4 linked regions of the Tamandua tetradactyla genome follow. The protein of the gene in region 3 interacts with the protein of the main gene of each other region in a biochemical or structural test. Links are inferred from orthologs where the notes say so. Each region holds a gene or a part of one and is shown on either strand. Other genes may lie near its edges.

Evidence for each region.
Region 1: the proteins of CHEK1 (region 3) and MCM2 form a complex in vitro, tested with the Homo sapiens proteins (2 studies listed by BioGRID, with this or other methods). The link is inferred for Tamandua tetradactyla from reciprocal best matches to the Homo sapiens genes CHEK1 and MCM2.
Region 2: of the proteins of CHEK1 (region 3) and CDC25A, one has a biochemical effect on the other in vitro, tested with the Homo sapiens proteins (7 studies listed by BioGRID and IntAct, with this or other methods). The link is inferred for Tamandua tetradactyla from reciprocal best matches to the Homo sapiens genes CHEK1 and CDC25A.
Region 4: of the proteins of CHEK1 (region 3) and ATR, one has a biochemical effect on the other in vitro, tested with the Homo sapiens proteins (7 studies listed by BioGRID, with this or other methods). The link is inferred for Tamandua tetradactyla from reciprocal best matches to the Homo sapiens genes CHEK1 and ATR.

The regions. Positions count from the first base shown.
Region 1 is NC_135335.1:30,176,856-30,184,517, forward strand, and holds the start of MCM2 (DNA replication licensing factor MCM2), read left to right. Parts: upstream 1-4,654; 5' UTR 4,655-4,776; coding exon 4,777-4,782; intron 4,783-5,614; coding exon 5,615-5,844; intron 5,845-7,662. UniProt on the Homo sapiens protein: Acts as a component of the MCM2-7 complex (MCM complex) which is the replicative helicase essential for 'once per cell cycle' DNA replication initiation and elongation in eukaryotic cells.
Region 2 is NC_135341.1:38,163,552-38,170,828, reverse strand, and holds the start of CDC25A (M-phase inducer phosphatase 1), read right to left. Parts: upstream 3,011-7,277; 5' UTR 2,957-3,010; coding exon 2,787-2,956; intron 1,778-2,786; coding exon 1,701-1,777; intron 340-1,700; coding exon 297-339; intron 1-296. UniProt on the Homo sapiens protein: Tyrosine protein phosphatase which functions as a dosage-dependent inducer of mitotic progression. Directly dephosphorylates CDK1 and stimulates its kinase activity. Also dephosphorylates CDK2 in complex with cyclin-E, in vitro.
Region 3 is NC_135334.1:11,927,705-11,935,466, forward strand, and holds the start of CHEK1 (serine/threonine-protein kinase Chk1), read right to left. Parts: upstream 3,011-7,762; 5' UTR 2,945-3,010; intron 2,182-2,944; 5' UTR 2,172-2,181; coding exon 2,107-2,171; intron 1,290-2,106; coding exon 1,066-1,289; intron 1-1,065. UniProt on the Homo sapiens protein: Serine/threonine-protein kinase which is required for checkpoint-mediated cell cycle arrest and activation of DNA repair in response to the presence of DNA damage or unreplicated DNA.
Region 4 is NC_135341.1:86,773,863-86,781,339, forward strand, and holds the start of ATR (serine/threonine-protein kinase ATR), read right to left. Parts: upstream 3,010-7,477; 5' UTR 2,888-3,009; coding exon 2,829-2,887; intron 1-2,828. UniProt on the Homo sapiens protein: Serine/threonine protein kinase which activates checkpoint signaling upon genotoxic stresses such as ionizing radiation (IR), ultraviolet light (UV), or DNA replication stalling, thereby acting as a DNA damage sensor.

The sequences.
Region 1 (7,662 bases), on a different chromosome or scaffold from region 3:
AGCCTGCAAGTAACAAAAGTCGAATGAGCTGTTGTTTAAGCCACAATGACATTTGTTCTTCACTGAAGTCATCCAGAGGCTGGATGGGTTTGGCAGTTCAGCAGAGTTTTCGAGGATTCAGCTCAAGTGATTGCCCAGCTATGCCATTATGTCAGTTTGAAAGTATTTATGTACCCCAGAAAAGCCATGTTTTAATCCTGATTAAATCTTGTGAAGGCAGCCATTTCTTTTAATCCTAATTCAATACTGTGGGGTAAAACCTTTTGATTGGATTGTCTCTGTGGCGATGTGGCACCTCCAATTGTGGGTGTGACCTTTTGATTCGATGGAGCTGTGACTCCACCCATTCGAGGCGGGTCTTGAATAGTTTACTGGAATCCTTTAAAAGAGGAAACATTTTGGAGAGAGTCAGAAATGACAGAGCAGAGCCAACACAGAGGCTGACAGTTGGAGAACAGAGACATGATGTTTGGAGATGCTTGGAGCCCAGCAGATGTTACCATGAGATGTTAAACAAGCTGGAATCTGGAGAGAGCCAAGGGAAGCCAAGAGATGAAAGCCTGCCCCAGAGAAGCAAAGTGAGGAACCCCCACAGGAACAGAGGCTGAGCGCAGTGGAGCCCAGGAGCAAAGGACCAGCAAATGCTACCCATGTGCCTTTTCAGCTGACAGAGTGTTCCAGACCCACTGGCCTTTCTTGAGTGAAGGTACCCTCTTGTTGGGGCCTTAATTTGGACACATTCATTTCCTTATAACTGTAAACTTGTAACTTATTAAATTCATTTTTAAAAGCTGTGCTGGTTTGAAAGGATGCATGTTCCCTAGAAAAGCCATGTTTTAATCTAAATCCCATTTCATAAAGGCAGAATAATCCCTATTCAACACTGTATGTTTGAAACTGTAATCAGATCATCTCCCTGGAGATGTGATTTAATCAAGAGTGGTTGTTAGGCTGGATTAGGGGATGACATGTCTCCACCCATTTGAGTGGGTCTTGATAAGTTTCTGGAGTCCTATAAAAGAGGAAACATTTTGGAAAATGAAAAAGATTCAGAGCGAGCAGAATGACATAGCCACGAGAAGCAGAGTCCACCAGCCAGCGACCTTTGGAGATGAAGAAGGAAAATGCCTCCCAGAGAGCTTCATGAAACAGGAAGCCAGGAGAAGTTAGCAGATGATGCTGTGTTCGCCATGTGCCCTTCCAGCTGAGAGAGAAGCCTGACTGTGTTTGCCATGTGCCTTCTCACTTGAGAAACCCTGAACTTCATCAGCCTTCTTGAACCAAGGTATCTTTCCTTGGATGCCTTTGATTGCACATTTCTACAGACTTGTTTTAATTGGGACATTTTCTCGGCTTTAGAACTGTAAACTAGCATCTGATTAAATTCCCCCTTTTAAATACCATTCTGTTTCTGATATATTGCATTCCAGCAGCTAGCAAACTAGAACAAAAGCCATCCATTTCTGGTATATTGTATTCCAGCTGCTTGCAAACTAATACACCCATCTTCAGTGTATTGGTGACTCTCTGCTCATTAGTGACAGGAGGGCTGTACAGGTGTCAGCATATATCTTCACATTAGAGCAGCTGAACCCTGAGAAAGAAGCAAGTGGGGTAGGCATAGGAAATTGTCTCTTCGTTTGGCAGGGGTTATCTACAGTGGGTTCATATTGCAGTGCTGGCAATGTGACCTAAGTGGGAGCTGGCTGGAGGTTTCTGTAAATGTTTTCCCCCTCAGTGGAAAAGGCTGTAATAAGGAGGAAGACTTTCTGACGTGAGAGGCTTAGGCCAACCCTAATTTATCCCCCAGAGCTGCCCAAGTAAAATCAGATTCTGGTGACTAGGAAGAAGGGATGGCATTCAGATAAGGGTGGAGGAGATTCCTGGTTTTGCACCACACCCTTCTGCTGCCTTCCATCCTAGAAGAGGTAAAGTTAAGCACATAACCAGCCAGTTAGATGCTACATTGCCCAGCCTCCCTCACTGTTAGAGAGGGTCATTGGCTAAATACTCACAAATGGATCAGGAGTGGAAATAATGTAATCACTTGTTGTTCTTATTAAAGAAAATTGAGTTTAAAGAAAATTGAGTGTCCTGGTCTTCAGGCCTTTCCCTTTTCAGAGCTGGAATGCTGATGTGCCTGCAGCAATGTGAATGAGACATGAGAATGGTGTGACAATGGGTTGCTGAATGAAGTGCAGGAGAGCCACCCACCTACCAGGTCCATCTCCATCTGACTTGATACAGGAGAATGAAATAGACATCTCTTATCTCCAAAACCACTATACTTTTGGTCCTCTCAGAATAGCATAACTAATTCTGTAGGCAGTCAACAGTCTCAGCCATAACCCCATCCCCAACTGTCCCCACTCTGGCTTAGGCAGCATTCTGTCTATATGAATGAAGACAACACTAGCCTCTAGGCTCCTCCACTACCCATTCATATCCCATTGCCAGCCAAAGTGATTCTTCTTAAATGCAATTTTAACCCTGCCACACGCCTGCCAAATTTTTCTGATAACTTTCTGATACCTGTAGAATTAAAGTCCTAGCCCTTTAGCCATGACCTGGCCTCTGTGCAATTGTCATGTCATGAGCTGCACCATGGAGAGGCCTCATGGCAAGGAAACAAGGGAGGCCCCACCCAATGGCCAGTGTGGAGCGGAGGCCCTCACTTCAATACCCTACAGGGAAATGAATCCTGTCATGTGGGTGAGCTAGGAAGTGAATCCTCCCCCAGCTGAGCCTTCAGATGAGACAGCAGCTCCAGGCAGTATCTTGACTGTAGCCTGGTGAGAAACATCAAGTCAGAGGTACACAGTTAAGTCATACCCAGATCCCCAATCCACGGAATCTTGGGATAACAAATGTTAATTGTCTTGAGCTGCTAAATTTGGGGATAATCTGTTACACAGCAATAGATAACTAAAACAATCCCATCCACTATCTCTTCTCTAGTTTTTCCCTCAGCATTCCTTTGGCAATTCCTTCCCAGCATCCTTTGTTGGTGTCCGTCAAGGTTTAAAGCTGTAGATACCCCAGAAAAATATACACTTAAATCTAGTCCAATCCTCCGGGTGTGAAGCCATTGTAAAAGTAGGGTCTTTTGATCAGGCTATTTCAGTTAAGGTGTGGCCCACTTCATTCAGGATGGATCTTAATCCTACTACTGGAGTCCTTTATAAATGGAATTAATGCAGAGAGAGAAAGAGAAAGCCATAGAAGCAACAAGCTGAAATCAACAAAACATAGAAGAGAAGGGAGAGACCAGCAGATGCCACCATATGCCTTGCCGTGGTTCAGCCAAGGATTCCTGGCAACTGGTCTCCAGGAAGAAAGCATTGACTTGATGATGGTTTGATTTGGGCACTTTCTTGGCCTCAAAATCTGTAAACTAATAGATTCTTATCATTTAAGCCAACCCATTTCATGGTATCTGCTTTAAGCAGCCTAGGAAATGAAAGCAGTATCTATTAACGGTTGGGGCTTCTTGAAGAAGGCCCAGTCTTAGGCCTTCTTCTCTCCTCACTGCACTCATTCTCTGGATTATGCAATCAGTCCCAAGCCCTCTATAGCTTTATCCCGTCTCCTGATTCCCAGACCTGAATATCCAGTGGCTTCCACTCAGAACCCATGTGGAACACAGCCAGAAAACAAATTAATCTGCTGCCCGCATCCCCAACCTCACTTCCCCAATTAGCTTGTCTTCCTCCCGTGTTCCCCATCTCAGAGATTGAGCCTCATCCTCCTAGTCTCCTAGGCCAGAATCCTGGTGCGATCTTGGATCTCTCCCTTTGGCTGTCCTTTAGCATCTTTTAAACACCTCTTAGATGTTTCCTGTCCTCACCATGTCTCCTGCCCCTACCCTGGGCCTAGGTCCCATCTAGAGGAGCTTGTACACAGCACAGAGCACCTGGCCAAGGCCGCTGAAATCCAAGCCCTGCCTCTGCTCACCAAGTGAAGTGCCTTAGCCAAGAGTTGCCTGTAACTGGAGGAATAAACTGGAGCAGCTTCCTCCCTCATTTGCCACCCTTCCGTCTGGTCGTGTCCATCTCCACCCTGTATTAGCCTGAGGGGGGTTTCCTAAAGCTCGCTTCTGTCTCACCTTGCTCTTTTGTGGCTCTCCATTGCCCTCAGGATAAGATTCACATTCCCTAGGCAACACTTACTTTTGTAAATTGTGCGCTCTAATCTCAAATCTTGTCTCTTCCTGAGCATCCCAAGTTTTCACGCTGTCTCAGGCTTATGTCTCTGCACATAACATTCTTTTCTACTTGGAACATCCTTCCTGCATCTTTACTCCCTTTGTGGAGGACAGATCTACTAGATGCCGCTTCCTACAATGCCAGGGATCTTTTCTGTGCTTTAAATACTGGGCCTTAGAGCTCTCAGAGAAGTTGTCCTCTACTAAAACAGTCAGTAGGCCATATAAACAAGCTCTGTTGAAGGGATCAGCCACTCAGACCCCAAGTGCCTCTTCTATAAAACAGCCAGAACTTGACCAAGGCTCCAGTTCACCCACATCCAAAACCAGGGGCTAAACCGCTGCGAGTGGGCACACTTGGCTGCGCCCTCTGGAGGCGGGGCCCGCAGGCCGGCGTGGGCGGAGCCGGATTCGCTGGCCCGCCCCTCGCGCGCGCCGGCGGGACGGAAGTCGGCGTCACGACGCTGTGTTCATTACTCCCGACGCTTCCCGGGCTCGGGTGGGTCACGTGAGTCACTTTTCGCGCGAAATTCGGCGGCTGCCTGAGGAGCGGGAAGGAGCACGGCGTCGCGATGGCGGTGAGCTGGCCCGGGCGCGGCGGCGTGGGGTGGGGCGGGCACTCCCCGCGCAGGCTGCACGTTTGTACGGGCTGTGCCGGGCGGAGTGTAGACGTGCGTGGCTTGTCTAGTCCTCAGGCGCGCGCCCTGCTCCCGCCCCGCTTCACGGCCCCGGCGAGTTCCGGTGGTCCGGGCAGAGCTTGGGAACCCGCTTCTCTCTTTTCCTCCCCTTTTCCGCGGTGTGAAAAGCAAGGGGGCCCCGCAACTGTCCTTTTCCTTCGCAGCAATCTAGGCTCCCGAAGCCGAGCCCGGCTGGCTCGTGTCCTATCCTTTACTCCGCCTGCGCATGCTTACTGGGCGCCATCTCCCTGCCTGGTCTTGGGCAGACGCCAGACTAATTGTGTTGTACTGTTTTATTGCCCGTCCCCGTCAGTCTGTGAATTCCAGACCTGGTATATTTGGGTTGCTGTTGTAGCCTGGCACTTTGTGGGGGCCCAAATGGGTCGGATGCATGCTTAAAAAAGGTGAAAACAGACTATACCAGGGCAAATAAACAAATGGCATAGCACGAGTGATTTCTCAGGTAAGCAGTATCTGAGCTGGGTCCTGGATGTTGAGAAGCCAGTGGCTTCTTGAGATCAGGGGAGAGCCCTGCAGACAGAGGGAATAGGAAGTACCAAGGTCCTAAGACTGGCAGGGGGCTTGGTGTGTTTGAGGACAGGGTCATCAGGACTGGTGAAGGGAGAGATTGGTTGGAGATCAGATGGGAGGGGAAGGTCACCCCTTAAGACAGAAGGGAGGCTGTGTCAGCCCTCATCTCACCAGTTTTTAACAGCAGCAGCTTTTCTTGCAGGAGTCATCTGAATCCTTCACAGTGGCATCCAGCCCAGCCCAGCGTCGGAGAAATGCTGATCCTCTTACCTCCAGCCCTGGCCGAAGCTCCCGTCGCACAGATGCCCTGACTTCCAGCCCTGGCCGGGACCTTCCTCCGTTTGAAGACGAGTCCGAGGGGTTACTAGGCACAGAGGGGCCCCTGGAAGAAGAAGAGGATGGAGAGGAGCTTATCGGAGATGGCATGGAGAGGTATCTGAGACCTTGGACTCAACAGATTGCTTTGTTTGCAGAAAGCCTATTGTGTGCCTGGCAACCTTTCTAGCATCAATTAAAATCCTTCTTTGCCCTTGCGCACAGCTCGATCTAGGGTCTAGGGGGAAACTAGACAGATTCATGGAACCCCAAAAGAGGTCCATTTAACTCAGAAAGGCTAGACCCTAAGGCCTCAGTAAGCCCCAACTCCATGAGGTCATGGGGAATGCAGAAGGGCCACAGCAGGAGGTGCCAATTTAGTAAGTGGGCAGCCACGTGTTTCTCTGCTGCTTTTCAAAGAAGCGGTGTGATGTGGGTCCAGTTAATCAAGACTTAGCTTTGTTCTAGCAAACGTTTATTGGGCCTACTCTACCAAGATGTGAGTTATATACCTTCACATTTATTATCTCATATAACCCTCATAAGAATAAACATGTATTAAAGGTCATTGAGACTTAATATTAAGACATGGTGGAGTAAGCGCTGCAAGTGAGAAGGTTAGATCTCTACTCCTAGCCTGTATTCACTGCTTGGATTTGGTAGATACTTTAGTATCTTTAGAATTGTGTGGTTGCTCAGGAGCCTCATGTGAATTCTCCTTTTGTGCCTATCTTTACCCTCACTTTGGGGGTCCCAAACTTAGTGGATGTGAGACTGCTATACGGGCCATGGCACAAAAGGTGAATGCTACTCTTTATGAGCCATTTAAGGGATTTTCATAGGTACCTTGGCCATATAGGGTTTTTCCTTTAAAGACTTCCCGTAGAACCTTACACAAGTATGTGTTCAGCCCTAGCCAGCCTATAGGAAGGAATAAAGACTCTTTGGAGAAATCTCCTGGACCTAGGGACAGGATATACAATATGGGTGGCTTCCCTGTTGTAGGCTATGGAGTTTTCAGGCAGGATGCCCCTCCCCAGCCTTCTCTCTCCTGGCCTTTCTCTTTGTTTCTCTTTCCATGTTTCATGGAGAGTGAGAGACATTGTAGGGAGCCTCAGGATAGAGGCATCTAAGCTGGCTGCCGTTGAGTTAGGTTTTGGGTGTGTGTGTGTTTGAAACAACTTTATTGAGGTGTAATATAAAATTCACCGTTGTAAATGTTGAGTTCCATGCTAAGTTGTGCGACCACCACCACAATCCAGTTAAAACATTTTTCCATCATCCCAATGAAATCCCTGTGCCTTTTTTACAGTTAATCCCCCACCCCTACTCTAGGCAACCACTAATCTACTTTCTGTCCCATAGAGATTTGCTAGTTTGGCACATTTCATATAAATAGAATCATATAATAATGTGGTCTTTTGTGACTGGCTTCTTTCACTTAGTGTAATTTTCAAGGTTCATCATTATTTAGTAGCGTGTGTTGGTACTTCATTTCTTTTTATATATTTATTTTTGGGGGTGGATATACCATATTTAGTTTATCCATTGATCAGTTGATGGCCATTGGGGTTGTTTCTGTTTTCTTTTTTTTTTTTTTAACTGTTAATGAATAATGGTGCTATGGCTGTTTGCCTTTGAGTCTTCCTCTGAACATGTGTTTTCATTCCTCTTGGCTATATACCTCTTGGCTATATCCCTGGATCAGACGGTAACTCCGTTTAAGCTTTTGAGGAACTGCCGGACTGTTTTCCAAAGAAGCTGCACCATTTAGCAATCCCATAAGCAGTATATGAGGGCTCCGGTCTTCAACACCCTTTCCTAACACTTGTTATTTTCTTTTTGATTCTAACCTCCTGGTGGGTATGAAGTGAAGTTTCATACCACTTTTGATTTGCATTTCCCTAGTGACTAATGATGTTGAGTGCCCTTTCA
Region 2 (7,277 bases), on a different chromosome or scaffold from region 3:
CAAACCCAGATCTCTTAAAACACAAATGTTTTCAAGGCTATGACGACATAGAGTGAAGGGGTTTGGGTGAGACCTGATCAGAATACCAGAATTACAAGCTAAAATAAAGGAGGGATGGTTCTGTAAATTGTTGACATAAATCACTCCTCAAAAGATACCAGACTGTTTATAGGATCTGGAAATCTGATAGGGACTGCTCAATCCAGGGCTCCAGGCCAGAGAGTGAGAATTTCATTTACAAATTAAAAAAAAAACTTTTTCCTAAGCACAAACATTTAAAAGCAGTGAATACATACTTTTCTTTACTGTCCAAGGGCCCAGGAGAATCCAGACAGAAGCCTGTGGGAAATTAAAAAAAAAAAAGTGCTTGTATTTGCCATCAATCTCTGCAACTCAAGTTACTCTATAAACATTCCTCATTCCTTTGACAGGAGCTTCCATTTACCTGCTGAATCTCACTTTTCCACTTCAAATATTGTCTCTTATGCTTTCAAAGTGTTTAAATCCCAGGAAATCATACATGAAACACTATTTTATCATTAAAATAAATAAATCTGGTTTCTTAATTCAGTCAACAAAAACCCTCAAACTGTACTTTTGCCAGAATTGAAGCCCAGTTTATTTGACTGGAGTTTATCTACTGATTCTCTTCTACTTGCAATTACCATGATGGGAAATAGGAGTTGAGGAGGTGAGTTAAACTAATTCACATCATGACTGCTTAGTATTCAGATAAAGGTGACCCAGGTAAATTTCCCTGAGTTCCAACCATAGAAAAAATAATTGGCAGATTTCTCTGGATATTTTTTTTATTTTGAATATTTTATCTTGTCAGATCGCATGCATAAATTTGGTGTGGAAAATATAAATCATAAGTCATATGACACATAAGGCATGTATTTCAACAGAATGGCACTGAGGAGGATGTCCATCTCCCCAAGGACAGTAGGGCAAAGAAGACCCTACTCATGTTACCATGTGCCAGTCTCAGAATGGCCAAAACCCAACAGTGCCTGCTTAGTGCACACCTCTGTCCCTGCTGACATCTAAGTCTCATAGGAAAACTAGGTGTCAACTCCTGATTGGTATTCTTGCTTGCCCCACTGCCACAAATAATTCTTTCCCCAGTTCTCAAGAACCCTACATTTAAAGACATTTGCTCTTGAGTCCTCTAACCTAAAGCTGTGCCCCAAATGTTCTTGTCTGTGCAGATATAGATAAATCCCAGAGTAACACCAAACGTATTACTGGCACCTTTCCTCCAGAGCAAACTCACTCCATTTCATTTTACTTCCAATAATTTGATACCACATTTGGGGGGGGGGCGGGGATCATGGACAGGCTCTGGGAATCGAACCTGGATCTCTGGCATGGCAGGTGAGAATTCTGACACTGAGCTACAGTTGCACTGCCCAATCCCACATTTTAATCAATGAGATTTTCTAAATGTCACTTAGAGTGGTACAGTGCTCATATTATTCATCTTTGAAGACCCAGCCACACCTATTGCTTGCAAACACTTAAACTTGTTTTCTCTCATTATGAACTGACACAGGGGTTCCTTCAAATTGTTCTTAATACCATTTGCGAAGTCCCTTGGTAAAAGATCATTGTTTCAGCAAACCCCCTGTGTTGCTCACCATCTATCTCCCCACACCCCCAAGCATACACACGATGCTTGCTGAAGGCTGAAAGAATACCTGAATCTGTTGACTCGGAGGAGCCCATTCTCTGCAGACTGCTACTGTTCTTCACCTCCACAGGTTGTTCATACTCACTGCAACCAAGATAAAATCATTCTACATGAACTATTTCTAGGAATTAATTAAAGATTAAATACAAGGGGCAGGCCACAAGATTAGCAAATGCCCAGACTGTCACGAACCACCATTACTTGCATGACACCACATGGATCCTATTTTTCCACGCAGAGCACCAAGTTTGCATTTGAGCATAAAAGGAACGTAGAAAGCTGTGGGTGCATATGGACCACACCGTATGATATGACTACAACAAACGCTGGAATAGTTCCTGAAATGAGAACATGCGTTCTAAGCACTGTACTAGGAGTAGGGATTAAAAAGGAATAGGACAGAGTTCTTGCTTTTCAAAGACTGCGAAGCTAACAAGACGTGTATTTAGACAGAAAGAAGGGTGCCCAAGACTGGAGAAAAAGCAGCTTCACCAGAAACACTGTTGGGCCCTTTTTTTTTGGTCTATAAGGAAAATCCCGGGAGTTTTCAGTGAAGAGGTTGGGTAAAAGCCTGGCCTTGGAAAGCAAAGGAGTGACCATCAAGAATGCGCATGGGACAAGAACTGCGATGATGTTGCACCAACTCCAGGAAAGAAAATGCCAGGTCCCTTTGTTGGGAAGGAACAAAGCTCACAGGAAACTAAGATCCTGCGAGGTTCAGCAAACGGTGGAAGTGGCGCCCAGGAGGGCATGCTTTTGCCCCTTCGGGAAAGGTTCCAAAGAGCTTTCTGAAATAGGGAGGTAAGAGAAGCGGGGTACAGGGTAACCAAAAAGAGGTAGCGAAGGCCGGGGCTTCCCCACCCCTTACCGGGCCTGGCTCAGGGCTCAGGGGATCCCTGGAGGGTCCGAACGGCTTCTCCCGCCCAACATTCCGCCCGTGGGGAGAGTGCACATGGCGGGACCGGAGCTAGGCCCTGCCGCCCCGGAGCGGCGAACCCAGGAGGGCTGATCGCGCCTCTCTTCCAGCTAATCTCCCCGAGGGCCGCCCGACAGGCCCGCAGCCTAGGGTGCTGCTCGCTGGTCCCCTGCTCACCTGCCCAGCCCCTGCAGTTGGTCCATGGTGACCGTCAGGTTGGTGACAGGCGACAGCCCTCCGGCGGCAGGCGTACCGAAGAGCGCCTTCACTACAGGCGGAGGTGCTGGAGGGGAGCTGCAGGCGAAGAGCAGACGGCGACGGTGCGGGGGCTCCGGGCCCAGTTCCATGGCGGCGCCCAGACTCCCCAGGGCTCCCTTTTCCTCCGCCTCCACCGCGCCCGCCTCGCCCCGCCGGCACCGGCCTCCGCCGCGCGACCCGCCGCCGGCACTTGTGGGTCAAACACAAACACGACCCTACGGTTCAGGGAGGCCGCCAGCCGCCGGCAAGCGGCGCGGCCGGGCGGGTGTCTGGACCAGGCAGGTGCCAGCTACAAGCACGGGTGTCCCCAACCTTACTCCGCGAGGCCGGCGGGCGGGCGGGCGCCGGCAATCTTAAGATTAAATTCAAACAAACGCTGCGTGTCGGAAAGGGAGGGCGAGAGAGAGCCGCGAGGCAACGGCCTGGGCTCACACACTACTCTTTTTTCCTCACACCCTTGCCCAACCCGGAGTCACTAAACAAGAAGCAGACCTTCACCTCCTACCGGGACTGCCACAGAGGAGGATGCCTTTCGCAGTAGTAGCTGCTCTCTGGGGTCTGCCGCTGCCCCGCCTCCCTTTCCTAGTTGGCGCCAAACGGTATCCACCAATCAGTAAATAACTTCTCCTTCTTGCTCTCGATTGGCAGCTAGGTTGGACCAATGAAAGGGGAGGAAGGAAGCAGGTCGCGGGGCTTTGCGAGGTCACCCGCTCTCAGAAAGGGGCGGGGCCCAGAGGAGACCGGGGCGGGTTGAAACGAGAGGGGGAGCAAAGGTCAATGAAAACTCCCAACAGGTTCTGCGAGGCGCCGGCCGAGTTGAATGCTGGGAAGTGTAGTTCTTCCTGGCCCCTCCGGCCCAACAGCGTCCTTTCACGGCCCGCGCGGCAGTCCTGTATCTTTTAACCTCGTTAGGCCGCGTCGACCTTGTCCCTGGCCCCCGCCCCGCACCCCACGCCCCGGGGGAATGTAGAGGCTAGAGAAATCAGACCAGAGCTTCTGGAGGTCTGGCCGACTAGGCAAGACCCAGCCTTACTCGACCTCTTTCCTTTCCTCAGGCGCCGCTGTGTCCCAGCTTTATAACAAGGGAGGGAATTGAGTGACTGAACTAAAATTGATAGAGCAACTCTAAAACAGGCCTCATTCCCTCACTTTCTGGTGCTAGGAACCCCCTCAACCACCATGATTTTGCAGATGTCAGCTTCATCTGAAAGGTTTTCGACCACACTGGGCTGCAGGCCTCAGCATTATAAGCCTTCTGTGTTCTCTTAGAGTAATTTTTTTATCCTTAGCCCTTTTTTACCAAATGAGAGCTGGTAAATAGCAATACTAGTAAAAGTAATAATAGCTAGTGCTTATATAGTGCTTATTGTGTACCAGGTACTGTTCCAATGCTTTTCCTCTATTCATTTCGACTTTAAAACAACTCTGTGAGATAGGAATCATTATGCCACTTTATAGGTGACCGTATTTATTTTTATGGCCGCTACACCAGCGGTGGTACCTAGAATGGTTTTAATAAATGTGCATTAATCAAGTGCGGAAGAACTTGTCTTGAGACAGCATTTTTAGAGCACATCTGCTTATTTGGGATTGCATATTTGTGTAGGGGATTTTAATGTCTGGTACAGATGATGCCCATTACCTCTGCTCAAGAACTACAATTAAAGATTTATTTTAAAAAACTTTTCAACTTTTGCAAATAATGCAAAATCATGATTGAATTAGAAAATAAGCATAATTTAAAAAATCATCTGTAATCTTACCACTTCTAAAGAAAGCTGTCAACATTTTCAACTTTTTTTGTGTGTGTACATTCACTGTAAATGTACAACTGGTATTTATTTCGTGGTCAAATACAGGAGTGAAAGGCCCTCCTTGCCTCCTTCCCCTTCTCAGGTAAGCTCTGCCCTGACTGATAGATTCTTCTGTTATCTCCACCCTCTAGGCTCCTTGTTCCATTCCTGAAGAGCACTCCTCACACCTTTACATTTGTTTCTATGATTATTTTATTGGGTTGAGTACTCCCAATTGATTAGAAACTCAGTAGGGGCAGAGACCCTACCTTTCCTTTTCCCTACTGTAGTATCTGCAGCACCTCAGGCCATGCCTGCATCAGGGGACCCCTCAGTACATGCTGATTAAGTGCTACAAAGACAAAGTGTGAGTGCTTTGAGGGTGTCTGAGAGGGAATCTGATCTAGTCTGATGTGTCAGAGAATCCCTGAGGAATTGATCAGAAGGATAAGTCTTCATGGGGGAAAGAACTTTCTGAGCAGAGGAGCAGGCCCTATGTAAAGGCCCTGAGGCTGTAAGGAGCCCCTTGAGTGTGGCTTTGGCAGAGAGCAAGTGGAAGAGAGGAAGTTGGAAAAGTGGGCAAGATTTATAGGCCACATTTTGGAATTTGGACATTGCCCCAAGAGCAATGGGAAAAAGATCAAAAGGTTTGCATTTACATTTTAAAAAGATAACCCTGGGAGTGGAGAATGGATTAAAAAAGGGCAAAGGTAGAGTGTGGAAAGGATTCCCAACAGTCCTTGTAAAATAGAATGGTAACTTGAACTGGGGAGGGGTTAATGCCTTCATGCGGGTGATATGAGAGATGGACCACAATTGTGTCTTGAACCACTAAGCCCAGCAGGGCTCCAGACTCCTTATTCAATCAGGGGTTGCTCCCTGTCATACCATAGCAGCTTGGCCTTTTAATCTGCATTGTATATTGCAATGCCGTGTATAGTTTATTTGAAATAGGTATTCCCAGTGCTAAACAGACAAACAAACAAAAAGCACTTTTTCCATCAATTTATAAGACTTATTTTCTGTAGAGAAATAAACATCCTTTCTCTGATTCAGTATTTTACACATGCCCATTCTTCTTTCACACAACTCTGCTGGTAGCAAGATTGGAATTTTTCTGCATGGTTACGGTTCAGCATGAGCCTCCTTGGAGGCTAGAAGGTTTAAAATCAGCACCAAGAAGTCAAGTCAGAACTAACAGAGCTTTCCAAAGTGAAATGAGCAATCCAGGAGGCTGTATGTCCACTGTCCTAGATGTTGCAGAGTGAGGAGGGATACCTACAGTTAGGTTTTCTCGAATATTGATCCTACATCAGAATCATCTGGGGAACTTTAGCTTTTATGCAATTATTTATTTATTGAGTAAGTAATCCATTTACAATGTACAAATCCAGGTGATACCAAACAAAGGCCTAGGGTAAAATGTCTCCCTCTCCTCCCTGTCCTCAGCCCTGTCTCCTCCCCATAGGTCAGCGCTGCAGTCAATTTTTTTTTATCCCTTAGAGCCTGTGCTTATGCTAACAAGTATAGGTACATATTCTCCACACAGTTTATTTTTACATGCATAATAGCTTATTATAAACTATCCTGAACCTCACTCTTTTTTACTTTGTGTATCTTGGGTATAGTTCAATATCAGCAGGTAGAGTTCTTTTTTTAATGACTACCAATTTGGGGTGTGTGTGTGTGGAGGGCTTTTTCTGAAATATAGATCCTCCGGTGTCTCAGATATTTTGATTTGGCCTGATGTGGGTCCCTGGAATCCATATGTTCAGAAAGCTGTCTGAATTGTTCTGAAACAGATTTGAACAGATTTGAACCACTGACCTACATGAGCTTTAAGGTCATCAAACCCCAGAGAGTTTAAAAAAAAAAAAAAAAAGCAACCCAGAGATTACATGGTTCTAAAACATAATTAGAATTTGCCCTGGGTTATGCTGAATAACGAGCTTTGTCAGATTATATTTGGATCACAGGCTACATCCTATCTCATGTCTAAGTGTTTGCTCTAGGATAGCCCACATTCCTTCATGAGTGCTTCCTAGACATCTCACCTACCCCCAGTACTTCTGTACCTTTCTCCCTCATCCCAGAGAACTCCCAAGTCTTTATACTCAATTGAAGTCTCCCTCCTCAACCCCAGCTCCTTCTCTGAATCCACCCAGAATGACCCACTGGCAACTCAAGCTCTACTTGTTGTAAATCGATTTCTCTTTCCTTCCAAACCCATTATCCTTCACTGTCCCCATGAGAGGATATAGTACCTCCATCTACCCTTCCTCTTCCTCATTGTATCAGCAGACTCCTAAGTCTTCCATTGAGCTCTAAAACCCTAGTGTTCTTTCTAAATGCAAATCTGATCTCCTCCTCCACCCTCTGTTTCAAGGACTCTCCGTTGCTTAAAGCAGGGTCTTTGGAGCCATAGCCAGAGCACACAAGCAACTCACATCTCAAAAGATTCTCAACAAATAAATTACTCATGCTACATGTAATATACTATTTCCTGTTTTATTGTTTCACTTTAAAAAAAAAACACGAGCCACTAAAATTAATGTTATGACCCACTAGTGAGTCATGACCCACAAATTGAAAAGCACTGGCTAGCAGGTTAAAGCCA
Region 3 (7,762 bases):
GTACTTTAACAGAAAGAAACTTTAGCAAAAACAGTCTTAAGTTAAGAGTCACGAGTCCACTACCACATGATACTTAATAATTCATTTCCCTATTTGTAATATGGTGAAATATATCAAGGGAAAATTATAGAGAGATTATAAGCTATTGTCCAAATTAAGAATGTAAACCATGCTTAGAAAGCCTCTGCTTACTCTTAGCCTGATTTATTATCCCTCAAATCCTCCCTCAATATCTTAATGATAGAACAATATCTTCCCCACTCCTGAAATCTAACTGCCAGTACAGAAGCCTGGGAAAACCTAAGCCAATTTCACTAAAAATTTAACAATAGACTTAAAGTACATACCACCTCTCCTATCCTTCAGGAACAAAGTTTTATTCACAAATGTTCTTTTTTATCATTTTATATTTTGATCTCCCTCATTAACTTCTGATTTAGTTTACTCTCAACTCTCTCCCAAGATACATATTAGAAATTACAGTAATCAAGTATTAATACAGTTGCTTTGAATAGGTCCACAGAATACATTTTATGTAATTATGTGCTCTGTAGTAATAATCCTTTGAATCAACATAGAACATATAAGAACCAATTCAGAATTTACTTAACATATATTTTTTAATCCTAGAAGGTTCTCAGTTATATTACTTAATAAGTATGTTAAGAAGAAATCTAATAATATGCTATTATTTTGGATCTTGGGATGTATGCAATGATTTCATGAAACCAGAATGCTACAAAGAAAAAAAACTGGGTAGGCAATAAGACATTGCATTTATGAAGTATATAATTTTTAAACTCTATAAAACGGTAATCCCAATCAAAATCACAAATATGATGTGCAAAAAAAATTTCTTTCCAGTGACTTTATATACACTTATATTTTAAACCAAAGTCAAAAAAAAAACAGGCTAATTTACTCCAATTTCAAGGTTACATAAGCACTTCTGAAAGAATGACCAAATATCAGACCCAAAATTTAAACACAAATTTTGAACTTTGTTTAGCAGAATAATTATCTTGAGTTTTTAGAAGATTGATTTGGAACACTATTTTACCATACCTATTCTATCAAAAAGTTCTCCCCCACTGCAATACTCCAGAAATAGATACTGGATGTTGCCTTCTCTCCTGTGACCATAGAATTTCACTACATTCTCATGATTTAACATTTTATTGATACAGATTTCTTTCTTAATATTTTCTGGACAGTCTATAGCACGCTTCATGTCTACAATCTTCACTGCAACTGCTTCTTCAGTTCTTCTATTCACAGCAAGTTGAACTCTTAAAAAGGAAAAGAAAGAGTTATAATATTCCAAACATTTGTATTATAGCCCTTTTAAAACCTCAAAAGATTAAACATGACTCAATCCAAAACTATTTTATCTTCATTATTTTCTTTACCAAGGAGAAACCAAGGAAAAAGTTTCTGCCATGCTCTCAACAGATATCATTCCTTTCTGAAATGTGAAGTACTATAAGTCATTATACTATACAGGCAAGTCATTTAATAAACATTTGATAAAATAAATTGTGATAACAGCACTTCTAGGCCACATCACCTATATACATCTTTTATCTGTTTAATTTAATCACATATCTAACACTTATTAATCCCATACTATATACCTCTGGCAAACTATTCTAACCACCTATTGGGTAGGTTCTATTATTGCCATCTAATAGAGGAGGAAAAAGAGGCACAAAAAGACATTCAGAAGTTTGCCTAAGATTACGCTACCATGACCAGTATGTGATAAAGGACTACTTGACACCAGGCAGTCTGTCTCCACAGTCTGCTTATTTGCTCGTTTAACCATTATGTTTACAACCCAAGAAGGAACGTGTGAAAGGGGAAACAATGACTTCAGAAGTCTCTTCCAACTCTTAAAGGAACTTTTTTTAAATGGGGAAAAAAAAAAACACTAATCCTTACAAAAGATTTACAACATCAGTTTCCAAAATTACTGGCTTTTAAATGTAAAGGTGTGTTTTCTAAACACGACTGTATTATTGTAAACAACTCCAAGACAAGGAATATGTACTCAAGACAACAGACAGAAATACTAAGCAGGTGTGCAGGTAGGGTAAAAGGACTCACTCTCCGTAGGCACCTTCTCCCAGAGTTTGCACCAAATCCCAGTCTTCCACAAAGGGAACTGCCATGACTCCAAGGCTGTAAAAGGTAGGAAAGATGGAAAAAGTGTGAGCTTCAATCACCTGTAAAGTCACTGAGCTCTCACCTGGCCATGATTCCCCAACTATAAATAACAACTCTTAGTTTTCCCTTACATCTCATCCAAGTTTTATCTAAGTCTTTAAACTACAATCAAATTTTCCAAATTTAGGCACTTTGTTGGGTAAATCACAACCCCACCCCACCGCCATTTCCACGCAAACTGAAAGCTGAAGCCCCGCCTTTCTCGGATCCTAAAGGAAATTGAATAGAGGAGCTGGGGAACCGGGCAAAAAATCCCTTATGGTGAAGAGATTGGGGAAGGGAGTAAGAGAGGTGAATACTGAGGAAGAGAGTAAGAACGGTAGATTTGTGTCCGCGTAAAGAACAACTCTGACTACTTCAGCCCCACCTCCCCCCTTGCTCAGTACCAATCCCACCCTCACTAAGTCCTAAGGGCCGGGAGGGGCTCGGGGCGGGGTCAAACCGTTCGAGGAAGCGGAAGGAAAGAGTGGGACACCGACGGGCGGCGCCCAAACCTCTGGGGTTCCCAATCAGCAGAGGAACAGTCTCTCATGTTCCCCTCTACTATGAGGACCGCCCCCCAACTGGTACCACCCTCCCAAACGACTAGTCCGCGGGAGTTGTCTCCGGTCCCCCTCGCTCTTCACCGATAACTGTCTCTTACTGTGCCTCTCTTCATTAATCTAGACCCCGAGCTTCTCCATCCTCCTTATCCACCCTATCAGCCACCCCTCCTCACCAGGTTGTCCTTTAGCCGCCACCACAGGAATCTGAATGCAACGCTTTTCCCGCCAAAACTTGTAGCGTCACACTGTCGTAAACGCGCGCGCCCCTTGCCGTAGAGCAGGGAAACGCAGATTACAGTCTCTGCGGTTATGAAGATTGACCGGTGCCGAGAAGTTTTCCTTCCCAACTCTAGCCGGTTGCACCTCGATTCCTTTAGGGTCGGGGAAGATCTTAGCTGAGGAGATTTAAAGACCACTGGCTGGATCAGAGTGAAATGGGTGGCCGGTGTGGGAACCTCGGCTGGGGCGGGGCCGGTGGGCCGAAGCGCCTCCCGAAAAAATACTCCGTGCTTGCAGGCAGCGCCCTGACCCCGTGGGACCTGGAAAGGCTGACCGAACTTGCGCGACCCTACAGGCCGTGACCTCTGAGCATCCTACCTGGCTGCCCCACGAGATGGTGAGGACCGTGTGCTACTAAGCAATGCACAGCGCTTTGTAGACGTTCAAGGGCGGTACCGATAATTCTGGAGCCCCGAATCTTGACAGCTGTTGAAAATTGATATTGTGAAGAATGAAACGTATTTTTGCGGAGTGGGAGAAAAGCATCAGAAATGGCCACACAGGAGTTGGGGGCAAGGGTCTGGAGGAAGAAAGTTATTCTTTTGTCATTTGAAGGGATGTCAGGAAAACCAGTGTTCTTGTGTATTGTCAGTGAACAGGTCCCAAACCATACCCGCGTTAGTCCAACTACTTTGAGGCAAAAATGTCTGCATAGCTTAGTACTTTGCGTTCTTAATGTGTAAGAACTAGGCATGTAGAAGCCGAAAAGCTGTTGCACCAATGGTCTAAAAAATGATCATGGTAATAAATGTACAACTATGTGATAATATTGTGAGCTATTGATTGTACAGCATGTTTGGAATGTTTGTATGTTAAGAATTAAAATTAAAAAAAAAAAGCTGTTGGGCGAGCCACGGTGGCTCAGCAGGCAAGCATGCTTGCCTGCCATGCCAGAGGACCCAGGTTCGATTCCCGGTGCCTGCCCATGTACAAATAAAAATAAATTAAAAAAAAAAAAAGCTGTTGCACCATATTTTACAACGCAAATGAAAAGGGTAGAGTAACCATTTTAAGTAGGAAAGTATATTCTGGGCAAAGGGACTTGCTTGAGAAGCAAAACCAATCTGAAACTGAAGTAGGTGCTTACCCTGCCCAGCCCACACAGTAAGCTAGACTAGGAACTGGAGGCACAAATATCATCGTCGCCATTAAATTCTCAAGTCAAGTATTTGGCCCAAATTCTCAAATTGGGCCAAATACTCTTGGCATAACTAGCTATTGACTGTGATACTGTTAATAAGGTAAAATATATTACATCAGAAGTACACACATCTTAAAAAAAGTGCACACATCTATTTGAAAGATCAAAAGTCAAGAACAGAACACTTTATAATGCTTATGTATGAAGTGTTAACCATGATATCACAGTTTGGGCTTTATGTAATAAGTTTTTCCAGTTTATTTTCCCCCTTTTTTCTAGTTTCCTCACTGAACTGCAAACAGAATATTATGAGAGAGAAGGACATGCACAGCTCCTCTGAGTGTGAATGAAATTACACTATCTTTTTAGCCTGAAAAAAAAAGAGGAATACAGATTTCAGGCAAGAATACCAGTTAAAGATAGCATATGAAAGAATGAATATACACAATACCCTCTGCTGCCTTCTGAAACCTTACTAAAATATTACTAAAGAGTAAATTTTTAAAAGACAATAACCCACAAGAATGAAGAGTATGAGAAAAAAAATTTTATAAAGTGGAAAGCTTTTAAATGCAAGATAACTTACATGAAAACTTAATCACTCAAAGCCAGCAGTGAGAGAACAGAAAAGCAACTCTATACCACAGAATTTCCAAAAGCTCAAGAATTGTTGATACCAAATAATTCAGAATGTAGAGGTAAAGGTATGGCTAAAAACTAGGTTGAAAGATTGTAAATAAAGCAAATAAATCCCTAGATTTTGTTCTTCCTCTTGTACCCAAGTAACTACCCCTCCCCAAAGCTGATATAAAAAAGAGGGTAAATGGGTGGCATCTGACCTGGGAAGCATCAAGCACCAAGGTCTTACTGAAAACAGGAGGATTATGTTTAGACTCTTGGCCTTTTCTCACCCTATTCCTACAAAGCTAGTAGCCTGGCTTATATCCTTGAGTTAGGAGATAGAGCTTTCTCAAGGGAACCTTACCGGTGTAAGAGAAAAGATCTGGATCCTATACCAGGGATCCCCATTCTAACAGCACAGCCAGATCACAGGAGGGTGAAGCCTACATTCAAAACAAACACCTTCCAATCAGCTTTTAGAGTTCCACTCTTAAAAAAGAACAAACAGCCAAGAGTTTGAGAAAATTTTTAATATTAAGGATGTCAAAAATATTCAAACAAAGCTCTTCAATATTAGAAATATGAGAGCAGAAAAGAAGAAAACTAAATAGATTAGAAAATTAAGGAAATCTCCCAGAAAGAATAGAATTTGGAAAACAGCAAATATAAAAATATTAAGTTGATGATGATTGAACAATAATATAGCTTTCACAATGTGACTCTGATTGTGAAAACCTTGTGTCTGATGCTCCTTTTATCTACCATATCAACAGAAGAGTAGAACATATGGAATAAAAATAAATAATAGGGGGAACCAATGTTAAAATAAATTTAGTTTGAAATGCTCGTGATAAATGAAAGCGAGAGGTAAGGGTTATGGTATGTATAATCTTTTTTTTTTTCTCTTTTTTATTCCTTTTTCTGTTGTCTTTTTTATTTCTTTTTCTAAATCAATGCAAATGTTCTAAGAAATGATGAATATGCAACTATGTAATGATATTAAGAATTACTGATTACATATGTAGAATGTAGTGATATCTTAATGTTTTGTTTGTTGTTAATTTTTTTAATTAATAAAAAAAATATATTAGGAGACTAATCCAGAAAATCCAAATAACTGTTTTTGGGGGTAGGAGGTGGGGGGATTGGAATTCAGAAATAACTCAAGAAAATTTCTCAGAACTGAAGAGTCTGCCTTCTCACAATGAAAAGTCCAAAGTACTAAGCACAATAGATGACCTGCTCTAAGACGCATTATTGGGGAAACTTCAAATCATTACAAAGAGAAAATCCTAAGAGATCTAGGTTGGGTGTGGGGAGGAATGGACACAGACAAAAAAACTAAGAGTGGGAATAGCATTGCATTTCTCTAACATTTGGAAGATATAGAAAACAGTGGACCAATGCCTTCAAAACATTCTAAGGGAAAAATTATTTTCAACCTAAAATTCTATACCCAACTAATCAAGCATGAGAAGAGGTAAGCAAGAGCTCAAAATACTTTTCTCTACACACTTTCTCAGGAAGGTATTTAGAGGTGATAAATTTATGGGATTAACACACACATATAGAGGCAGTTCAACAAAAATTAGAAAGAAAAAAAAAAAGACCAGTATTATTAAAGGAATACACCAAGACAAGAGGTATGCAGCAAACCTAGGGTAAATGAATCCAAATAGAAATATAGCAAAACATGAAACATCTTTAAGAATGAATGCCTAATGTATTTGAACTATTAAAAGAGGGTTGGCCTCAACAACAAAAGAACAAACAATCCAATTATAAAATGGGCTAACGATATGAATAGGCATTTTTCTGAAGAGAAAATACAGATGGCTCAAAAGCACCTGAAGAGATGCTCATTTTCACTGGCTAAAATAGAAATGCAGATCAAGACTACATACAATGAGATACCACCTCACACCTCTAAGAATGGCTGCTATTAAAGAGACAGGAAACTATAAATGTTGGAGAGGATGTGGAGAAATTGGGACACTTATGCACTGCTGGTGGGAATGTATAATGGTGCAGCCACTATGGAAGACTGTTTGGTGGTTCCTTAGGAAACTAAACATCGAGTTGCCCTATGACCCAGCAATAGCACTACTTGGTATATACCAGAAGAGCTGAAAGCAATGACACAGATATTTGCACACTGATGTTCATAGCAGCATTATTGGAGCACAATCACCAAAATATGGAATCAAACCAAATGCACACCAACAAATGAGTGGATCAACAAAATATGGTGTATACATACGATGGAATATGCAGCAGTAAGACAAAATGACGTCCTGAAGCACATGACAAAATGGATGAGCGAGGACATAATGCTGAGTGAAATTAGCCAGATACAAAAGGACAGATACTGTTTGATTCCACTTTTATGACCAGCATAAAGGTATAATCAGAGGCTTATAATACAGAATATAGGGGACTTAGAGATACATAGAAGCTAGAGATGGGTTAACCGTCAGCTAGTGAGGTTGAATTCCAATGTAAGTGAATAGATAGGAGCAAAGGTGATTCTCTAGTGGGTCTAGAAGTATTATTATCATACTGAAGATGAACAAGATTGAAAAGGGTTGTATAGACCTATGTGTCCCACTGACTCCCACTAGAAACATGAACGAGTTTTCGTAAGAATTAAAGGATTCGATTCTTGTATAAATAATGTTCAAGTCCAGGGTACAGGGGGGAAACTGCTATTGCATGCTATTGAGCTATGTTCAAAAGCAAACCATCATGGAGGTAGCTGAAAGATGCATTGACAGAGAAGTAGAATAGCAAACTGTTGTGTATACATGATGGAATATTGTGTGGCTACAGAGAAGAGCAAAGTCATGAGGCATGCAAAGAGGAGAATGAACTTTGGGGACATTATTTAGTGAAAAATAAGCCAGAAACAAAAGAACAAGTATGTATGGTCTCTCTTAGAAAATACTACTTA
Region 4 (7,477 bases), on a different chromosome or scaffold from region 3:
TTTAATTATATGTGTAGCTTGCATTATATTTCTATCAGATGGTACCGATCTAGACATCTGGAAAATCTGTTAGAACCCTGATTCTTCAACAAATAAATTCCAAAGGAAGAGAGCAGAAACCTATAACTAATACTTAAGAGCCATACCAACCAATTACAATGTATGATCCTAAATTGAACTCTGCTTCAAAAGTAAAATTGGGAAAATCTAAACAGCCTAGATATTTGATATTATTGAGGAACTATTATTCTGTAGGTGTGATAATGATATTGTGACTATGTTTAAGTCTTTATCCTCTAAAGCCAAATATTGATATTTATGGATGAAATGATATCTGGAATTTGCTCCAAAGTAATCTGAGTTGCAAATAGGAGTATGATGAATTGATTATTATTGGGTGATGGGTAGAAGGGGAATTAATACATACACTATTTTTTCTCCTTTAAATGTTTGAAATTCTCCACAATGAAAGTTTTAAAAAGTTAAGAAAAAACACATATATTGAGTTTTAAAAATATATATTAGGAACAGATATAATAGTTAAGCTAAGGAATGGTACCCTACAAGCCTAAATGAATTCAACTTGAGCTCCATTCTTTAATTTAAACCAACACAGAACGTAGTAGAAAATCTGTTTGCTATCACATAGTATAAGGAAACATATAGTCATCTAAGTCTTGAACAAACCATTTTGAGCACCTAACATGTGCCAGGCAACACAGTAGGAGCCTCTAGTGGGAAGATGAAAAACACAGTGGGGTAGAATGTTAAGTGGGGTAGAGAGAACTGTGAGTCCATTCACCGAGAGTTAATACAGGACAAAACACAGGTCTGGGGAGAAAAAGGAATCCAGTTTTAAAAATATTGAGTCTGATTTGGGGGAACTAATTGGAGATGTCCAAGAGATAGTTGGAATTCAGTTCTAGTCCACAAGAAATGTCTATTTTAGAGATATAGACTTGTTGTGCCAGCAAGTGGGCTAAAACATATTGTCTATGATATTTCATTTAATATTCACAAGCAACAAGATAAGGATACTACTGTCTAGGAGAAGACTAATACTACTCACAGAGATTATATACCTAGCCTAAAGTCACACAGCTAGTAATAGCAAAGGCTTGAAGTCATTGCAATAAAACAGACATGATAATTTAAAAGTATTAGGCAATTATTCATAAGTCAGTTTTTCTATCCTTTCTTTTGGAATGGCTACAAATAAATAAAATGAAAGGTAACACATTCTGTTGAAGAAACAGACAAATGCAAATCCAAGATACCATTATTTGTATTAATATATCTTATGGAGGAAGAGAGAAAAGGAAAGTTTAACCAACTAATTCTACATTAAAGCAAGATGGGGAAAATATACTGAGCTTCATAAATAGTAAGTCTGAAAAATGAAATCTGCACAACTTCCTAAAGAAGCACTTTTATGAATCTTCTTTTAGTCAAGAAGTTACTTTACAAAATGTTAACTCAAAATATACTTGCAACATTGTTTAACACAAGGCATACTTGCAACATTCACCAAAAGTGGAAACAATTTCACACACAGAAAACAGGGTGATGCAGTTGGCACAAGAATGATGTAGGTTTCTTCATCTGTCCTCTAATTTATGTAACTGAGAAAGACTAAATTTCTTTGCAAGGTAGACAAGTGGAGATAAACACGACTGCACTGCAAAAAGAAAGGGAATTAGTTATTCCACCGGTTTAATGTTAGTTTCCACTTTGTATGGAAAGGTTTCAAACACCTAAAGAAATTGGGAAGAAATTATTATCCCAACTCATCTGGGGTAGTAGCACCAGCCTTCTTACTGGCAGGGTAAACACAGGAACAAAACCCGCTGCCTGGGCTCTTCAGGCTTATTGTTTGAGCTGGGAAGCCTGCGAAACGTGTCCCAGGGGGACTGCGGTTACCAGCACCTCTCCCCTCCACCGCTAAGGTGCCGGTGGACTTGACTTTACTGCAGCGCTAACAGGAAACAGAAATTTGCAAATGAAATAATGTTAAATTTACTCCAAATTTATGCAACACTGAAAGTTTAGATTTGCGATTGCTCTGGAAATAATGTTAAATTTACTCCGAATTTATGCAACACTGAAAGCTTAGATTTGCGATTGCTCTGGAAATAATGTTAAATTTACTCCAAATTTATGCAACACTGAAAGTTTAGATTTGCGATTGCTCTGGCCAATCCGTCGGATTTCTTCAGATACCAGGCATTTCCACGGCCTGAGTAAAATAATGGCGTGGGGGACCGGAGGGGGATACGAAGGGGCTCACATCTTCTAGAATGGCTTACGACTTCACTCTGAAGAAAGGAACTACGCTGTTAACAAGTGACCGTCCTTGCAGAAAATGAGAGCCGCTGATGCTTCTTCCAAAGGCAGTTCTGGAACAAGACGGTAACATACTAACTTCTCCAGGAGCGAACCTAAGAGTAGATATTGGGGAAGGTGTTGGGCAAGGCCCTTTAACTAAGGAAAGAGGTTTTCGGAAAGCGACCGGGTTTCAGAAGAGTGACCAGAAGCGACCACGGGGGCCGCTCCTCCGGCGGCGGCGGACACACCCCCGTGGGGCCGGGCGCGTGCGGGCAGCCGCCTTCAGTTCCTCAGGCCGGCTTCCGCGGACGGCGTGGACACACGGCGTCCTCTGTCCGGCCTCTGAGGGCGAGGCGCCCAGCTCGGTCACCGAACGTCTCCACAAAGGCCGAAGCGGGTGCTCAGAGGGCCGGGGCAGGGCCGCCGCCAGAGAGGGGAACCACGTGAGGCGCCGGCCCGCCGGGGAGGACACGGGAACCCAAAGCGGCCAAGCCTGGTCCTACCTAGCCAGCTCCCGCAGGGCCGGGATCATGGAAGCCAACTCCAGGCCGGGCTCGCCCATGCTGAAGCCGCGCGTTACTCGTCCACGACGCCGACTCGGGGACCTGGCATCACCACCGCTACCTTTAGCGGGAAGACGCGACGGTGCCTCGCGGGGCCCAAAACTCCTCCCCGAAGCTGCTGCGGATGTAGGACTCGGGGGGGAGGGGCGGGGAGGGCGGGGCCGGCGGCGGGCGAGCGGGTCTCGCGATAGTTCGCGCTTAGCCCGGCGCTGCGCGGGTCTGCGCGTCCGAGCGTCTGGGCTCCGAATTGCGGGTCGCTGCCCCGTGGGCTGGGAGGCCCCGCGGCCCCGGAGGCCGGGGGCTTGGCGGTTCCGACCCAGACGCCCTCGCCGACCTGCCCCCAGGTTTTAGGGGTTCCTCATTTCTCCACTCCCTTGACGACCTTTCTCAGGGAATCGGGGGAAAGGCGGGCTCCTCCCGCTCCTCTCTATACTTCAGCAGGTTTTTTCCATTTAAAGTTACGTCTATTGAGGATTCTCACAACCTTTAATTTTTAAAATTGGGGTTGGTTTGTGTTTATATATCTCCTCAAACCTTAGCCGTATTATTGTGTCGCCGTTCTGGGCCTCGGATACCTATGACTTAACTTTTAAAGTAAATCACTGGGTTTTGGCTCTCGACACTTTTCCCTCAGCCCGGCTTGGTCATCTGAGAGAGGACCGTTACCAGAGGCTGTTTCCACGGCAAAACCGTGTATTCCACCAGGCGGAGCCGTGCAGCGTGCTCGCTTGTGTTCTCTGGCCTGGGGATACATGTCGGTACAGCAGCGAACAAATGGAAGGAGAGAGGGACGACCGGGTGTGCGCCTGCCTCGGGGCCTTGGCGTCGCGGCCCATGCCCGGGTCCAGGCGCCGGTCCCTCGCCCCTCCCCCCGGTCTGCGTCGGCGTCGCCAGAGCCCCGCCCCCTGCCGGCCGGTGCGCGCGCTCACGCTCGCTCCCGCGGACCTGCGGGGTTTTTCTTCAGGGCGCCCAGAACCAAGTGATATATTGCATATGATTTTATTGACCGTCTCCTGCAATTAGAATATAAGCTCCTTGAAAACAGAGTTTTGTCTGTTTTGTTCACTGCTAGGTCCCCAGGACCTAAAACGGTGTCTGGCACGTAGCCGGTGTTCAACAAGGGTTTGTTGAATGAGTATTTGAGTGCTGTGGTGGAAAGAACATAGGATTAGGAGTTGGAAGCCCTGGACAACTCCTCATTCCACCTGCTAGAAACTCTATGGCTATAGAGATGAAACTCTATTTCATCTCTTTGCACTCCACTTTATTTCACCCATAAATAATCTAACTCATGAGACTGCAGTAAAAATTAAAGTCGTGTAGTGGAATACCATTTCTTGAATGAATTATGTTGTACTTGGATAGATGAATTCTGAAAATAATGTGAGTGAAAAAACAAATTGCAAAGGACTACATAACAGTATTATATCACTCCTGTACACTGTTTAAAGCGCAAAATAATTCCTTGCTCAGGGTATGTATACATACGTATATAACAAAAGTATAGAAACATTGTTGGGAAGGATACATCAACTTCATAGTGGTATTTCTAGAAAGGGAGATAATGAAATGTTGAGACAAACTATTTGTGAAGGTTTTAACAGACTCTTCAGTAAATGTGGCAAATTTAACATTATATTTGTTATGTTATATTATTCTTTGTATGGTTAGGATGTATACATTTTTTGGATGTATTAGTTTGTAAGTTGCCGGAATGTGATATACCAGAATTGGAATGGTTTTTAGAAAGGGGAATTTAATAAGTTACAAGTTTATAGTTCTAAACCTGTAAAAATGCCCAAGCAAGACATCCTGGGAAAGATAACCCTAATTCAAGGAAGGCCGATGGGTCAGGAACGCCTCTGTCAGGTGAGAAGTCATGTGGCTGCATCTGCTGGTCCCCTGCTCCTGGGCTCCGTTGCTTTCAGCCTCTGTTCCTGTGAGGGCTCCTCACTTTGCTTCTCTGGGGCTGGCTTTCATCTCTTGGCTTCCCTTGGCTCTCTCCAGGTTCTGGCTTGCTAACATCTCATGGCGTCGTCTGCTGGGCTCCAAGCATCTCCAAACACCCATGTCTCTGTTCCCCAAGTGTCTGTATCTGTGTCAGCTCTGCTCTGAGCTCTCTACAAAATGTTTCCCCTTTTAAAGGACTCCAGTAATCAAGACCCACCTTGAATGGGCAGAGTCACATCTCCATCTAAAAAAAGGTCACACCCACAGTTGGGCGTGACACATCTTTGTGGGGGTAATTTAATCAAAATTTTCCATTTACAAAAGTGAATCAGGATTAAAAGTAACAGCCACTCCCACAAGATAAGAATCAGGATTAAAACATGGTTTTTCTGGGGTACATAATAGATTCTAACTGGCACAAATATATTTTTAAAAGCTTAAGTTAGATAACATATAAAACACTTTATCAACTAAAAAGTAATAAATATTAGCTATTTTAGATATGAAGAAAGATTATAAAAATTGCTATTTTATCTGAAAGGCAATAGCTGAATAGCATTATAATTCTAAAAGACACTATGAATCCCCGAATGTTGAAGTAATAGAATAATAATAATAGGAAATTAAATAATCCAATTTAATTCAAAAAGTGATTTTTCTGAAAAGTACTGCCTGGATCCTACTGTGATACAAAGAAGAGGACGATAAAGTCAATCTCAAAGTAATGTACAATCTAGTAAGAATGCAAAAAGTTAAAAGTAAAGCAAAAATTGATAAATGCATAAGAGATATAAACAGGTTACAATGAAATATATAGAAGAGGAAAAGGGTATGTCTTCTCCAATGGAGAGAGGAGGTGGAATGCAAAGGGGCTCCAGGAAAAGGTAAAACCATATCTGAGATAGGACTTGAAGGATGTGTAGGATTTGGAGAGACAGTGACCGAGGAAGAGTAATATAGTCTAATTAGAGGCAGCAATGTGAATAAAAAGTAAAGAGCATTATTAGGGAGAGATGAATGGTTCAGTTTGGCTGGTGCTAGCAGTGTCCCAGATCAGGAAGTTCCAGCCAGCCGTGTGTGTAGACCTGTCTCCACTGATGAGTAAACTAGGGCGGGAAACCACCAGGTGGCACTGCAACCCAGCTGAGACCAAGATGAACTTGTCCTTGGCTGGATGCCTAAACTGGAGGGCTAGTTGTGCAGGTTCTGTCATAATGTGTCTATGATAGAGTCTAAGATTTTGCTATTTAATGTACATCATAAAGTATACACTAAAATAGAAATCTTTTAAAAATACCAGAAGTTTTACAAGTTCCTCTCTATACCTGAATGGGTCTCCATGTTCACCTCCTGCGTACACACACACACGCATCACTGTGGAGTTGTTCTACACAGCAGACAAAACAACCTTTTCAAAACCCAGATATAATCATGCCATTTGCCTGCTTCATTAGCTTGAATAAGTATTGAGTATTGTCAGGCATAGATTAATGGGTAAGAAAGGAACACGTCTGTTGTTTTTCATTAGAAAAAGCCTCAAATAATAGACCAACATAGCCACAAGCCAACATTCTTAAATTAATAAAGTAGAATAAATGATTAAACACAACATAACTGCACTAATCCATTTGGCCTGTTTAGTAGAAATACTGCAAAAATCTAATATGAAAAACATTTAGTTCTAATAAAGGAACGCATATAGTGTTTGAGAACTTTAAAGTTAAGTCATTTTTCTTCCTATCTTTGTGGCAATTTCACATCTACTGAGGATATATTATAAAACTGGAACTCCACTGTATTTGGAGGCAATTCAGAAATAATAACATGGACTACTTCCCTTGAGTTGGGATATTTATATCTTAGTTGTGAATTATTGTCATTTTCCTTGTCAAGTATGACCCTAAGATTATATCAGATTTATGGGAATAATAAGGATTATTTGCATTTGCAATCAATATTTTTGCTTTTCTCAAAATACTTTCAGCTGTTTCATCTGATGCTATACTCCTAGTGACTGTGATATACATGAAAATTAAGGGGAGAGGTTACAGAGTATGGGTTTTCAAACTTCAGCATGCTTAGGAATTGCCTGGAAGGCTTGTTAAAACAGATTCCTGAGTCTCAAGTCAAGAGATTCTCATTCATTAGATCTGAAAAGGAATTCAATAATTTGCATTTTTAACAAGCTCCTAAGTAATGCTGACACTGCTAGTCCATGGACCACATTTTGAGTTAGAACTGTTTTAGAACAAGAGTTCTTATCCTTGGCTGCACATTGAAATTACCTGGGGAGTTTTAGAAAGTACGTGGATCCCACTCCCAGGGATTCTTATTTAATTGGTCTAGGGTAAGGCAGTTAGATGTATTTGTATACATTTCCCTGGTTATATTAGTATGTCTATTAATAATTTGAATTTTTCTGTAAATTACCTATTTAAAACTTTACCATTTTTTATTCGGTTTTTGTCTTTTTATTGATACATAGGAGCATTTTCATATAACTGATAGTAACCCTGTCCTGATTTATATTCTGAGAACATTTTTCTTGGCTCTTGCCATATAGAAATTTTTATTGTATCACATTTGTCTGTCTTGTCCTGTGTGATTTCTGGGTTTTGAGTCTGTTTATGAAAGTTTTC